Linked DNA regions of Xenopus tropicalis. The protein of the gene in region 1 interacts with the protein of each later gene in a pairwise test. Links are inferred from orthologs where the notes say so. Each region holds a gene or a part of one and is shown in the gene's direction. Other genes may lie near its edges.

Evidence for each region. The genes of interacting proteins can lie anywhere in the genome.
Region 2: the proteins of stub1 (region 1) and hspb1 interact in binary tests that used the Homo sapiens proteins (3 or more experiments, as listed by UniProt). The link is inferred for Xenopus tropicalis from reciprocal best matches to the Homo sapiens genes STUB1 and HSPB1.
Region 3: the proteins of stub1 (region 1) and olfm3 interact in binary tests that used the Homo sapiens proteins (3 or more experiments, as listed by UniProt). The two-hybrid records come from large-scale screens. The link is inferred for Xenopus tropicalis from reciprocal best matches to the Homo sapiens genes STUB1 and OLFM3.

The regions. Positions count from the first base shown.
Region 1 is NC_030685.2:14,826,212-14,829,188, forward strand, and holds the end of stub1 (E3 ubiquitin-protein ligase CHIP), read left to right. Parts: intron 1-289; coding exon 290-346; intron 347-546; coding exon 547-663; intron 664-1,297; coding exon 1,298-1,423; 3' UTR 1,424-2,477; downstream 2,478-2,977. UniProt on the Homo sapiens protein: E3 ubiquitin-protein ligase which targets misfolded chaperone substrates towards proteasomal degradation.
Region 2 is NC_030678.2:94,196,768-94,200,756, forward strand, and holds the start of hspb1 (heat shock protein beta-1), read left to right. Parts: upstream 1-1,189; 5' UTR 1,190-1,237; coding exon 1,238-1,619; intron 1,620-3,989. UniProt on the Homo sapiens protein: Small heat shock protein which functions as a molecular chaperone probably maintaining denatured proteins in a folding-competent state. Plays a role in stress resistance and actin organization.
Region 3 is NC_030680.2:109,189,359-109,193,390, reverse strand, and holds the start of olfm3 (noelin-3), read left to right. Parts: upstream 1-1,232; 5' UTR 1,233-1,333; coding exon 1,334-1,462; intron 1,463-4,032.

The DNA.
Region 1 (2,977 bases):
CACCCCGCTTAATATATATAAGGGATGCTGGTTTATTGGTTGTATCAGCTGAGGCCTTGTCATGTTGTACAGCTGTGATCTGTGCTCTGAGTGGCAGGTGAGTTACCCTATCAGCCAGTGCCCCTGTAGCAGCTGAAGTCCCGCTCCCTGGAACACTACAGAGCAGAAATCACACTCTGCACAGAGAGGGGTCCTGGTGAGGAAAGACATCTTTATGGATAAAGGGAACATCTTTATCACTGTACAGCTGCAGTCGCCAACACTGTTTTTTTTTTTTGTTGCTCTCTAGGACAAGCATCTTGCTGAGATGGAGGAGCTTTTCTCTCAAGTGGATGAAAAGAGAAAGGTGAGTGTTTAATACTCGACAGCAGTCATAGCTCATACAGGGCCCAGAGCTTTCCTTTTCAGCCTCCTAGAGTTACCGGTATTCCGTTATATCCGTGTTTCCAGCTTGGGTTTGGCAGCTATAAGAAATGAGAAAAGCCGTGTGTAGAGCTGCCATGATGTTGTCTTTATTCTAAGCTCTCCCGGTCCTTCTCTTAACAGAAGAGAGATATCCCAGATTACCTGTGCGGCAAGATCAGCTTTGAGCTTATGAGAGAACCCTGCATAACACCCAGCGGCATCACGTACGATAGGAAAGACATCGAGGAGCATCTTCAGGTAATGTAATATGGGGAGCGGTATGGGAGGGAGGGCTGGGAAATGTTGGAATGAAGGAACGATGTAGGTGTAGATGGACAGGGCCAGATTGTTCTGTGGGGATACCGGGTAAAAACCCAGCAGGCCCTGGCCCTCGTGGGCCCCAACCCAATTGTGATAAACTCTGAAGGGACAGTGACTCCCCTGTTTCAGGATTCATAATAATCTCACTAAGACAGATCTTGGAAAAGTCCATTCAGAATAGAATAATTAAAGGATATTTATATTGCATGGGCCTGCCTATGGGTTGGGGCCAACAGATTACTCCAGCCCTGCAAGTTGTGTCTCTGTGTGTCTCCGAGGAGGCAGGTAATGGGGGTGGGTTAGCAGTGGGTGTGGGGCAGATAATTCCAGACCAGTATATTACAATTTGACATCTCAGAACATGGTATAGTGATGAATTATATTTATGTGCACATGTAAGAGCTGAAATTGGCAGATGTGCAGCTATTGGAAGTGAGCATCAGCTGCTCATATATACACTGGGGGGGTTTCATTCTGCTGTAACTGCCAGCACAGTGATACAGGCACTTGCAAAGCTTTCAGGACATGTATGTGTGCCAGCCCCAGTCTCACTTGTTTATTCTTTAACCAGAGAGTCGGCCACTTTGATCCAGTGACTCGAAGCCCTTTGACTCAAGACCAGCTCATCCCCAACCTGGCCATGAAGGAGGTCATTGATGCGTTCATATCAGAGAATGGCTGGGTGGAGGACTATTGATCATGGGGAAGACTGCAGAAGCCTGGCATTGCCATTAGAGTCCTACTCCTCTTGTGTCACAGACTGTGCCTGTCCAGCCTTAAGCCTTACTCTCCTCCCCTGTGTCTCTGAGCCCTCTGCCAGTAGTCTCTTCTAGGTCCAGCAACCCAAGTCTGCTGCTTTGGTCCTTACTCTTCCGGACCTCCCTGGATTCCCAGTCTCTTGTTTGTGTGCTTTTCCCAGATTCACTACTGCGGTAACCTTCTAGCGAGTGGAACGCTTGCCTGCTTCGGCTTCCTGGTTCATTTCCTTTCCACTTCCAGTAGAGTATTTTATAGCTGTGTGGTTTAAGGGCTGAAGAACTATGTTCTGGTGATGACTTGTTTGCCGACACAGCATGCACTCTGCCAGCCATCATCTCACACCTAGAAGTATTTAGTACAACTCTCAGACTGGGCTACAGTGGTATATGAACAAGCCCGTGATGTCTTCTGTATGCCAATATTTTGCCAGCCGAATATAGCGTGTTCTTATTTAGCTGCTTGACTGTGGAGTTCAACGTTGAATTTTTCTTTTTTGTGAAGTCCTCAACCCGCCCTGCATTGGTTCATTTGCGCTGCGTTGCAGCAGCTGTGATTCGTGGAACAGCACCCTCTGCTGGCAAGACACTAAAAGCAGCACAGCAGAACCTTCAGTGTGGGCTTTGCAGGATGTTGGCTTAGTATGGCAAATTATATACAATGGCTGTGAACTAAGAGTCCGGGCTAAACGGTGCCCTTTGTCCGGTATGGCGACTAACTGCTGCAGGCAGTGCAATGCATGAAACGCATAAAAACCTTTAGATTGTGGTTCCCGAAGCTGCAGATGGAAGGATTTGTATTGACTCAGCCCTAACTACACCAAATGCACATCTGCAGCAATGAATGTATCCACCCCGGGATTTGAACTCCTTGGCTTTACTTTGTACATAGTCCATGTAAATATGTTCTAGTGTCTCTGATATGTATGTGGCCATTGAGGAGTGTGGCAGCCCTTCCGTCAGTACAGATGCATACATTAAAGGAGTTACGCTGTACTGCTGTGCCTGGCTCAATTCACACCCTTACCATTTATTCCTATAACTCTGTACAGAGATTAAATGTCACTCACATCCCAGTGGAGTTTACAATCTAACGTCCCTATCTCACACACTGGGAATTTTCTCAGGAACCACCTGCCTGTGTGTTCCTGGAATGTGGGAGGAAACCAGCCAATCATTCTTGTGGCTGTAATACACCAATTTACTCCTTTGGGAAGGACGGCAAATGAGCAAATATTTCCCCTAGGGCCAAACGATTCACATTGCAATAAAGGGGAAAGGAAAAATCGTAGTGTGTTAATGAGCCTATGTTGTCCCCGACCCGATGACAAAGCCTGTCCGAACATCATCTGGCCAATATTTGGCCAGATAGTGGTTGTGGAGGCTTGTTGGAGGGCCCCGTACATGGGCAGATAAACTGCCGAGTCTGTTTCAAAGGGATACTGTCATGATTTTTATGGTATATTTTATATTCCTAAATTACACTGTTTACATAG
Region 2 (3,989 bases), on another chromosome or scaffold:
TTTGTGGGTATATCTTAGTGACACATTTTTAATGAACACTGGAATTTTATTACAGCTTTCTCATTCTTTCTCAAAATAGTGTAAAAAATTCCTCTGTAGTTTTGCAAGGGCTATTGTAGATTGTTATATTCTGAGTCAAGAGATCTTATAAGGATGGCTCGCTTAAAGGCTAAGGAAAGTCATTTTGGCAATTTACTGCCAATAGATTCTCCACTTTAGTGCCACCTAGAACGCTATATTTATTCTGCAGAAAGCATTACCATACCTGAGTAAAGATTCCTAGAAGCTTTCTCTGTTTTCTGTGCAGCTGCCATTTTAGCTTGGGTTCATAGCTTCCTGCAGTAGATCTAGAGGCTGATAGCCCATATTACACATTCCTAAGGATGGGGGGAATAAGTTTTATGTATTCTTATGGGAAGGGGGAGCAGAAGGGAGAGAGAGAACTAAGCCAACTCAGGGCCCAGGAATGAAGGATTTTTTGAGAGAGGAAGTCAGATACCCTAAGAACATGTTTACAAAAAAGGAGACAAGAAATCCTGTGTTTCTTTTGATAGAGGACTCTGTGAGTCCTTATGGCTGTATTTACATAGACCTTTTTGATAAAGCTTACTTAGTTTTTACCTTTTCTTCTCCTTTAAGTATTTGTATATGGTGTATGCTGGTGCTTTATAACAATGTTGAAAAAAATACAATGTTAATATATTCTTCTCTTCATGTAACAATTCATTTCTTTTATGGTTAAAAATAAAACTAGGAATAATCTTTTTACCTCTTTACAGTAGGCAACTTTGGACCTGGTCAGTAACCCATAGCAGCAAGTCAATGATTAGCTTATTTAAACAAGGAGTAGGTAGAACAATGAAAGCAAACATCTAATTTGTTGCCATGAGGTTCTCTACATTCTACCCTAATTTGCTTTCCTAAAATGTATTCTGCAAAGTCATCAATAGAGAAAGCATCAGTTTATAGACCCTTTACCCCCTTGGGAACTTGAGAAGGCTACAAGTTAAGTTTACCCAGTTTATGAGAGAGTGCCCTGTCATTGTATTGTCATGCAGAGATGCCAGACATTTCCATCACAACTACATGTGTAATTTCCATTAATAGAATGCTCATTCCATCAGCTAAAAATAACCAGCTAGCTCTTCATAAAGCCGCTGCACCTTCCAGACCCTCAGAGCAACCACAGGCCGAACAGAGTAAAGAGCACTTACTAGCTGGCACAGGTCTAGAGAAAATGTCAGAACGCAGAATACCATTCTCCTTCCTCCGCACTCCAAGCTGGGACCCATTTCGGGACTGGTACCAAGGCACCAGTCGCCTTTTCGATCAGTCATTCGGTATGCCACGTATTCCCGAGGACTGGTACCAATGGCCCAGCACCAGCTGGCCAGGCTATGTTCGCATGCTTCCAAGCCAGTCCATGGAAGTTGTCCCCCCCACCACACCTGCTGGTGCAACTGCTCCTGACTTTAATCGTGCCCTCAGCCGCCAGCTTAGCAGTGGAATCTCAGAGATCCGTCAGACTTCAGACCAATGGAAAATCAGCTTAGATGTCAACCATTTTGCCCCAGAGGAGCTGGTCATAAAAACTAAAGATGGCATCGTGGAAATTACAGGTATGGCATGGCTAACCTCATATACTAGCAATAATAGTATAACATTCTACATTGATTATTTTAAAAAATGCCTTTCACATACTGTTTTGCTGTATAATTCCAACACACTGCATTACCACTTCTAATAAATGCACTTAGCAGGGCTGCACTGGTTGCAAAGTAATTACATTTCCCTGAACTTTCAAGCAATTTTGTAATCGATTTTCAAGCTCATAGGACAAAGGACACCTAGTTCCTTACCATAGCCTGGATACAACATGATAGAAAAGTTAAACAAAAGCCATACTGAGACCATCTCCAAGAGGTGACTTCCTTACCTATGCAGCTCTGTCATGCCTAGAATGAAAAGGCACACTCTGTTTTCTGGTACAAAATCACATGTGACGGTTGTCTCCTTCATTGGGCACAGCTACCCCTGCTAGCTAACGTACCTGCCTCTCACCTCGGAGGAATAACCCATACCTAGCTAGCCTAACCAAGGACATCCAGCTCCACCTAGGACTGGGCTCTTAAATGTCCACCTTGAAGTTTCTAAGGCCAATGCGGCACTTCCTTTATCTCTACCCTGTAATACAGTTTATTGGGTCCAAGACCTACCCCTACTTAAAACTTCCCAAATCAATTCCTAACTATGGCCAACCTACTCTACTGCCAGCAGAATCATCTGCCATATATACTGGAGGTAATTTATATAGAATTTATGTAGACCTAGAGCAGAAGAGCAAGTGCACTTAGGGGCACAACAGCATGTCCCTTCTCCATTTTTGCCTTAAAATGCAGCTTCATAAGCCAGTCCTATCATCACAGCCTGGACAGGTTGTAAGGAGCACCATTGCAGTTAGCATCTGCCTTCACTCCCTAACTTGTGTGCTTGAATGATAAACAAGTTAGGGGGCAGTGGGAGTAAAACATTACCGGTGCTGCTGTTCATAGCAGCCAACCAGATGTTTGCTTTGGTTTAAAATCTAATTGCTGATTGGTGCCCTAGGCAATGTCACAGTTAGTGTTTCAGTCCACTTTTTACACATGATAAATATTTCCCCTAGTTTGTTACCCATTAAAATTATTATGCAGTACTGTAAGGGCCGGATTTATAGATTTTGCACGCCTAGCCCTGCTCACCACTTGCTTCCCCTTCTCCACGCCACTGCTGTCTATATATATATATATATATATATAATATATATATATATATATATATAAGTCACTCTGCAGCATTGCAGCTACAAATAGCTAGGACTGAAGTATTAAAGGACAGTATTAAAGAGGAATCTCATGAAACATTTTTTTTGTAAAGTAATTAAGCTTACAGTTAGTTATTTTATATAATGACATTATTTTGCCTCTCTATCATGTCCTTCTCCTTCAAGTTTTGGTTAGTCACACACTCACAGAAAAAAGGCAATATTGTTGTGCACAAATCATAATAATCATACGATACTTCTGCAAATAGAAAACTTGATCATCTCTATTTCTGCCTCAGCTCATTTTTCCAACTCATTTTTAAAACATATCCTATGGTCTATTTAACACACAGTAAACTGTAGAAATGTAATGGGGGTGGGGGAGACCACACTGAAACTGTGGTATGGGTGCTGACAAATTTCACATAGAGCAGCAGGTGGCAGCGATTACAATAGTTATATATAACTAGGGGAAGTAGAGGAATCATATTGTTAGATAATAGGTTTAATTTATGAATGCTCGGGGCAAAAAGGGTCACAGAAGTTCTCATAAAAATGGCATAACCAATGTTCTTGCACCTACTTGCATTCATCTCAATTTGCCTTCCATCTGGCAATAATGCAAATTGCTAGTGGGAAAACATATGCATCACTTTAGGTTTATGAAGTTGTTAAAGTTGCCTTGCAAGTAAACTATAGGCATTGAGGCATTTGGAGGAGATTAAAGGTCCACAATAACGATTTGTTGCAGGCGACTAATCTCCTCTTGTGCCATTGAGATTGGTCACTCGTGGTTAAATCTTGGCTACTGTGGGTGACTAATCTCTTTGAAATGCCTTCCCACAGGAAATAAAGTGAATAGCAGATGGAAAACAAAATGCTGCATATTTTTTCCCACAGGTTATTCATTATATTGCAAGTGGAAAGGCATTTTGGGGAGATTAGTTCCCTGCGAATAATATCCCTGTGGGCCATGGCCCTTAAGCAAGTCGGCTTGCTCAATAATCTTGAAATGGTTTCAACACAGTCCAGGCAGCCCTGTGCTGTAGACTTATCATTGATAAGCCTTAGAACACAAAGCTGGCATCAGATGCATTTATCAGTCGTGTTTAAGAGTAGAAAGAGACAAGGTTTATTAGATATGCCATTAGCAGCGCAAGTCTTTTGAGGGTAACTGGGGTATTGT
Region 3 (4,032 bases), on another chromosome or scaffold:
TGACCATTACATTCTACCTGCTAATATGTTTTTATGGGTCACTAGGCCTCAATGTTAGACTGGGGTGTCCAGGGCCCACTGGTGCTGCAACCTCAGGGGCCCCCACCCTAATCACTAATTTCTTTGCCAGCCAGCCTCCATGAAATATTCAATGACTGGCAGATGTTTGAACAGTAGTTTGAACAAAGAGAATAAAGCTCTTACACTTTCAGCAGTGCATGCTTTCTCTAAAAAGAATTGTATTTTTATTCAGCATTTTAATGATTATTGTATATAGTCTCAAAAGCAGTCATTTCCCAATAGTTGTTATGTTTATCTAACTGGCAATCCTCTATGATTTGGTTGTCCCCCTCCATTTCTACTTTTACTTTTAATTTATTCAGGGCTCATTTACAAAGGCAAATGCAGTGTGTATAGTGCAAAATCTTTACAACTTAGACACGGTACCAAATTATAATTAGATGAAAGGTTAGAAGCAAGTGTATTGAGAATATGGGAAGCCAGAGTTCCTATACCATGTTGTGCTACACATGCAACTACTCTTACACCTTTGGCAATCAATGAGGCTCAGAAGCTGCAGTTCAGCAACAGCTAATGAGCAGCAGGTTGGACATCCCTGTGTACTACATTATTCAGCAATTATTACACCATATTAGTTGTCTTTAGTCCTTTTATCTATTTCTTCCAAAAATCCTCTTTGATGGTGGGAGCCAAAAGCAAATGTAATTTATGCCCTATCCTAAAACTGGCCTTGTATTTTCTAATTTATGTGTTGAGCTTAAATGAGAAGTAATTAGCCAGCCACTAGGCTTAGATTTCATTTTATCAGCTGTGCCATCATTAATTCCATCCAATATGTTTCATAGCCAGGGGTTTCTGTTTATCCAGGGCTGCTATTCTAACATAGAAGGTACCAATGTTCATTTACCATACATTCAGCTGCCCTATGAAAAGAATGAAATGGGTTACTGGATTGCTTCAGAAAAGGAAACTGGGTCAGCATATTGTTCTGCTGATATAATCAGCCCCGTGTTTATCCAGTGAGCAGCTGAGTAAAGTTAGAAAGCCTACTTTTTTAGTTTCATTTTGCCCCTTGCTCTATAGGCATTTGTATTTCAGGGAAACACCAGAATATGAGCTTTTAATGGGAAATGGGAAGTCCTGTATATTCATGTGAGATTAATGAGATGAATGTGTCAGCGTGCACTGAGTGTGTAGCCTTTTAGGCACATCCTCCTGTTGGAAGCCGTTTGCTGCTTTCAGCCGTTACTCCTCCCTCTCTCCATCTCTGGTGCTGATTCAGTTACTATGAAAACTCAGTAGCTTTCCTACTATGGGCTCTCCGTTCCTCACACTTGGTGCTGTGCTCTGCACCATGGCAATGATCTCTAACTGGATGTCCCAGACTCTCCCTTCCCTGGTTGGGCTAAATACCACAGGACTAAGTTCAGGTAAAGCCTTGGTAAGTCCAGTCACTCGTCGCCTTTCCCACACCTGTAATCCGTTCCCACCCTAGCATGTCTGTGCTGTTATTAACCCTTTACTTGGCAGCAGCGGGCGCATTCCAGGCCTTGACCTAAAACTTTTTAGTCTTTCATCTTCATAATTACTTTCTAGGTATAAACATTTCCATGTATCCTATAGTTCCATGAATCTTATATTTGTATTAGAGAATGATGAAACATCAAGTTATGAAAACAGAATATTCACTTTGTTCAAAATAGGAACGCAGCAGTTATTATTTTAGTAATTATAGAATCATGCATTGATTACACTAATCCTTGTATACCTTTGTCGTGTGTATGGTGTACATGGTGGTATTTTTTTTTTTTCAAATAAATCAGGTAGGGTTCTTTAATTGGGAGTTTAATTACCTCCAGAAGAAACCTCCTGTACTCTTTATCCCATGCTGTTTCTTGCAAACAAAGGGTTAATAGTTCTTCTCATAGAGCAGAAGCTCTGATGCCTCAATGTGAGACTTTAAAGCTGCTTCATTAAGTATTTAACAACTGATGTTTCAGTGGAGGATACGTTTCAGCCGTTGGGAAAGCAGCAAGAATCTTTGCAAATCTTTCTTGTGTCTGGGGAATATACACTGAGTTGTAAAAACCTACCATTTGTCTCCTAAATGAAACTGTACATATTGGCTTGGGTAAAGTTTGTGCTGCTTTGGCTGATTAGATGTTCTTTTCTCAAAAGTAGTATCAGTAACAGAATCACTTCCAATTTAAATCACAAACAAGTTTGCATGCTTGCGTTCTTACGACAGACTGGGGAAATCTCTAGCCTAGCCATTTCATATAGATTTTTGTGCCAAAAAGATAAAATCATTTGTGAAAAAACACAGAAAAGAAATGATGTGACATCTCTGGTCAGAAGTCATTGTAAGCGTCATGGTTCTAGATGTAGTCCAGAACTGGGGGTCATTTAAACCGACTGAGGAAATTTGCACCTGGACAGTAACCCATGGCAACCAATCAGGTATTTGCTTTCACTGCTTAATCTGCAGCTGTATGAAAAAGGCTAATCACTGATTGGTTGCAATAGGTTACTGCCCAGATGCAAATTTGCCCAGTATTTATAAATGACCCCCACTAGTGTGTCTGCTATGCCAAGAATAAATGAGGGACATTTTCTGTTATCCACAATTTCACTAATTTGGATCACCATACTTTAAGGGGGCCATTTATTAACTGTCTGATTTTTTTTTTTTTTCTGATTCGAATTTTTTCAGGGGAAAAAAGTCAGAGATTTTCTATGCATAAAAAGGCTGAAAATCCAAATAAGACAATTCACCAGCTAAAACTTGCCAATATTGTGTAGAAGTCACTGGCAGATGTCCCTTCCCTGGAGGATACTTCTTTGGCTTCCGAAATTTTGACATTGTTTTTTTGGGTGCCAATTAGAAAAAGTTGCAGTTTTCTTGGGACAAGTAAAAAAAATCTGAATTTTCAGACTTTACTGCAACTTTTCCCGCACAGAATTTTTCAGTTCAGACTTTTTAGTGAATGTAAGAAATTCATGGAAACGAGTTTATTCAAATTTTAAAATGAAAAAAATTAGAAATATTACCATTTCAGTAAATCTTCCCCACATGTACAGGTATTGGACCTGTTATCCAGAATGCTCGGGACCTGGGGTTTTCCTAATCTGGATCTCCATATTTTAAGTCTACTAAAAAATAATTTCAACATTAAATAAACCCAATAGGATTGTTTTGCCACCAATAAGGATTAGTTATATCTTAGGATCAAGTACAAGGTACTGTTTTATTATTACAAAGGAAAAGGAAATATTTGAATTATTTGAATAAAATGGAGTCTATGGGAGATGGCCTTACCTTAATTCAGAGCTTTCTAGATAACAAGTTTCTGGATATCGGATTCAGAAACTAGTGGTAGTATGAATATTTTTTGACAGTGCAATTCTCCTGCAGCCAATAGAAAGATGTACCAGTAAACAGGTAACAAAGTAGTTTGTTTTTGTTATATTTGAGTTTTTAACAGTGCCACAGGTACAACATTGTCCATTTAGTGACCAGTTTGTAATGCCTGGAAACCTACTGAGAGCTAATTTTTTGAGGTGCTAATCAAAGCTTCCTAAGATTGTTAGCTTCTGGAACACAAAATACAGCATGGTAAATACTGTGTGTATGTATGTATAGATATACAGTATATATATATATATATATATATATATATATATGTATTATTAAGAAAGTTTTTAAAGGGCCAAATTTCATCAAATGATTGTACATCACTGTAATACTTTGTTAAGAAAAATGCATTCAGTACTTTGTCTGGTTGATCAATGGCCCTTAATATAATGATGTGTTAATGATAACTAACATTATAGGCGGCTGGAGCTTTTGTGGACAATTAAATCTCATGCTGGCTAGTGGCTACTGACACAGATCTCTGGTAACACAGGTGATTTTGGGGGCATCAGTCATAATTCTTCCTGTGGGCCCAGGTACTTCCAGATCAACATAGCTGCAAATAATCATGGTATTGGTCAGCTGAATGTTCTGCT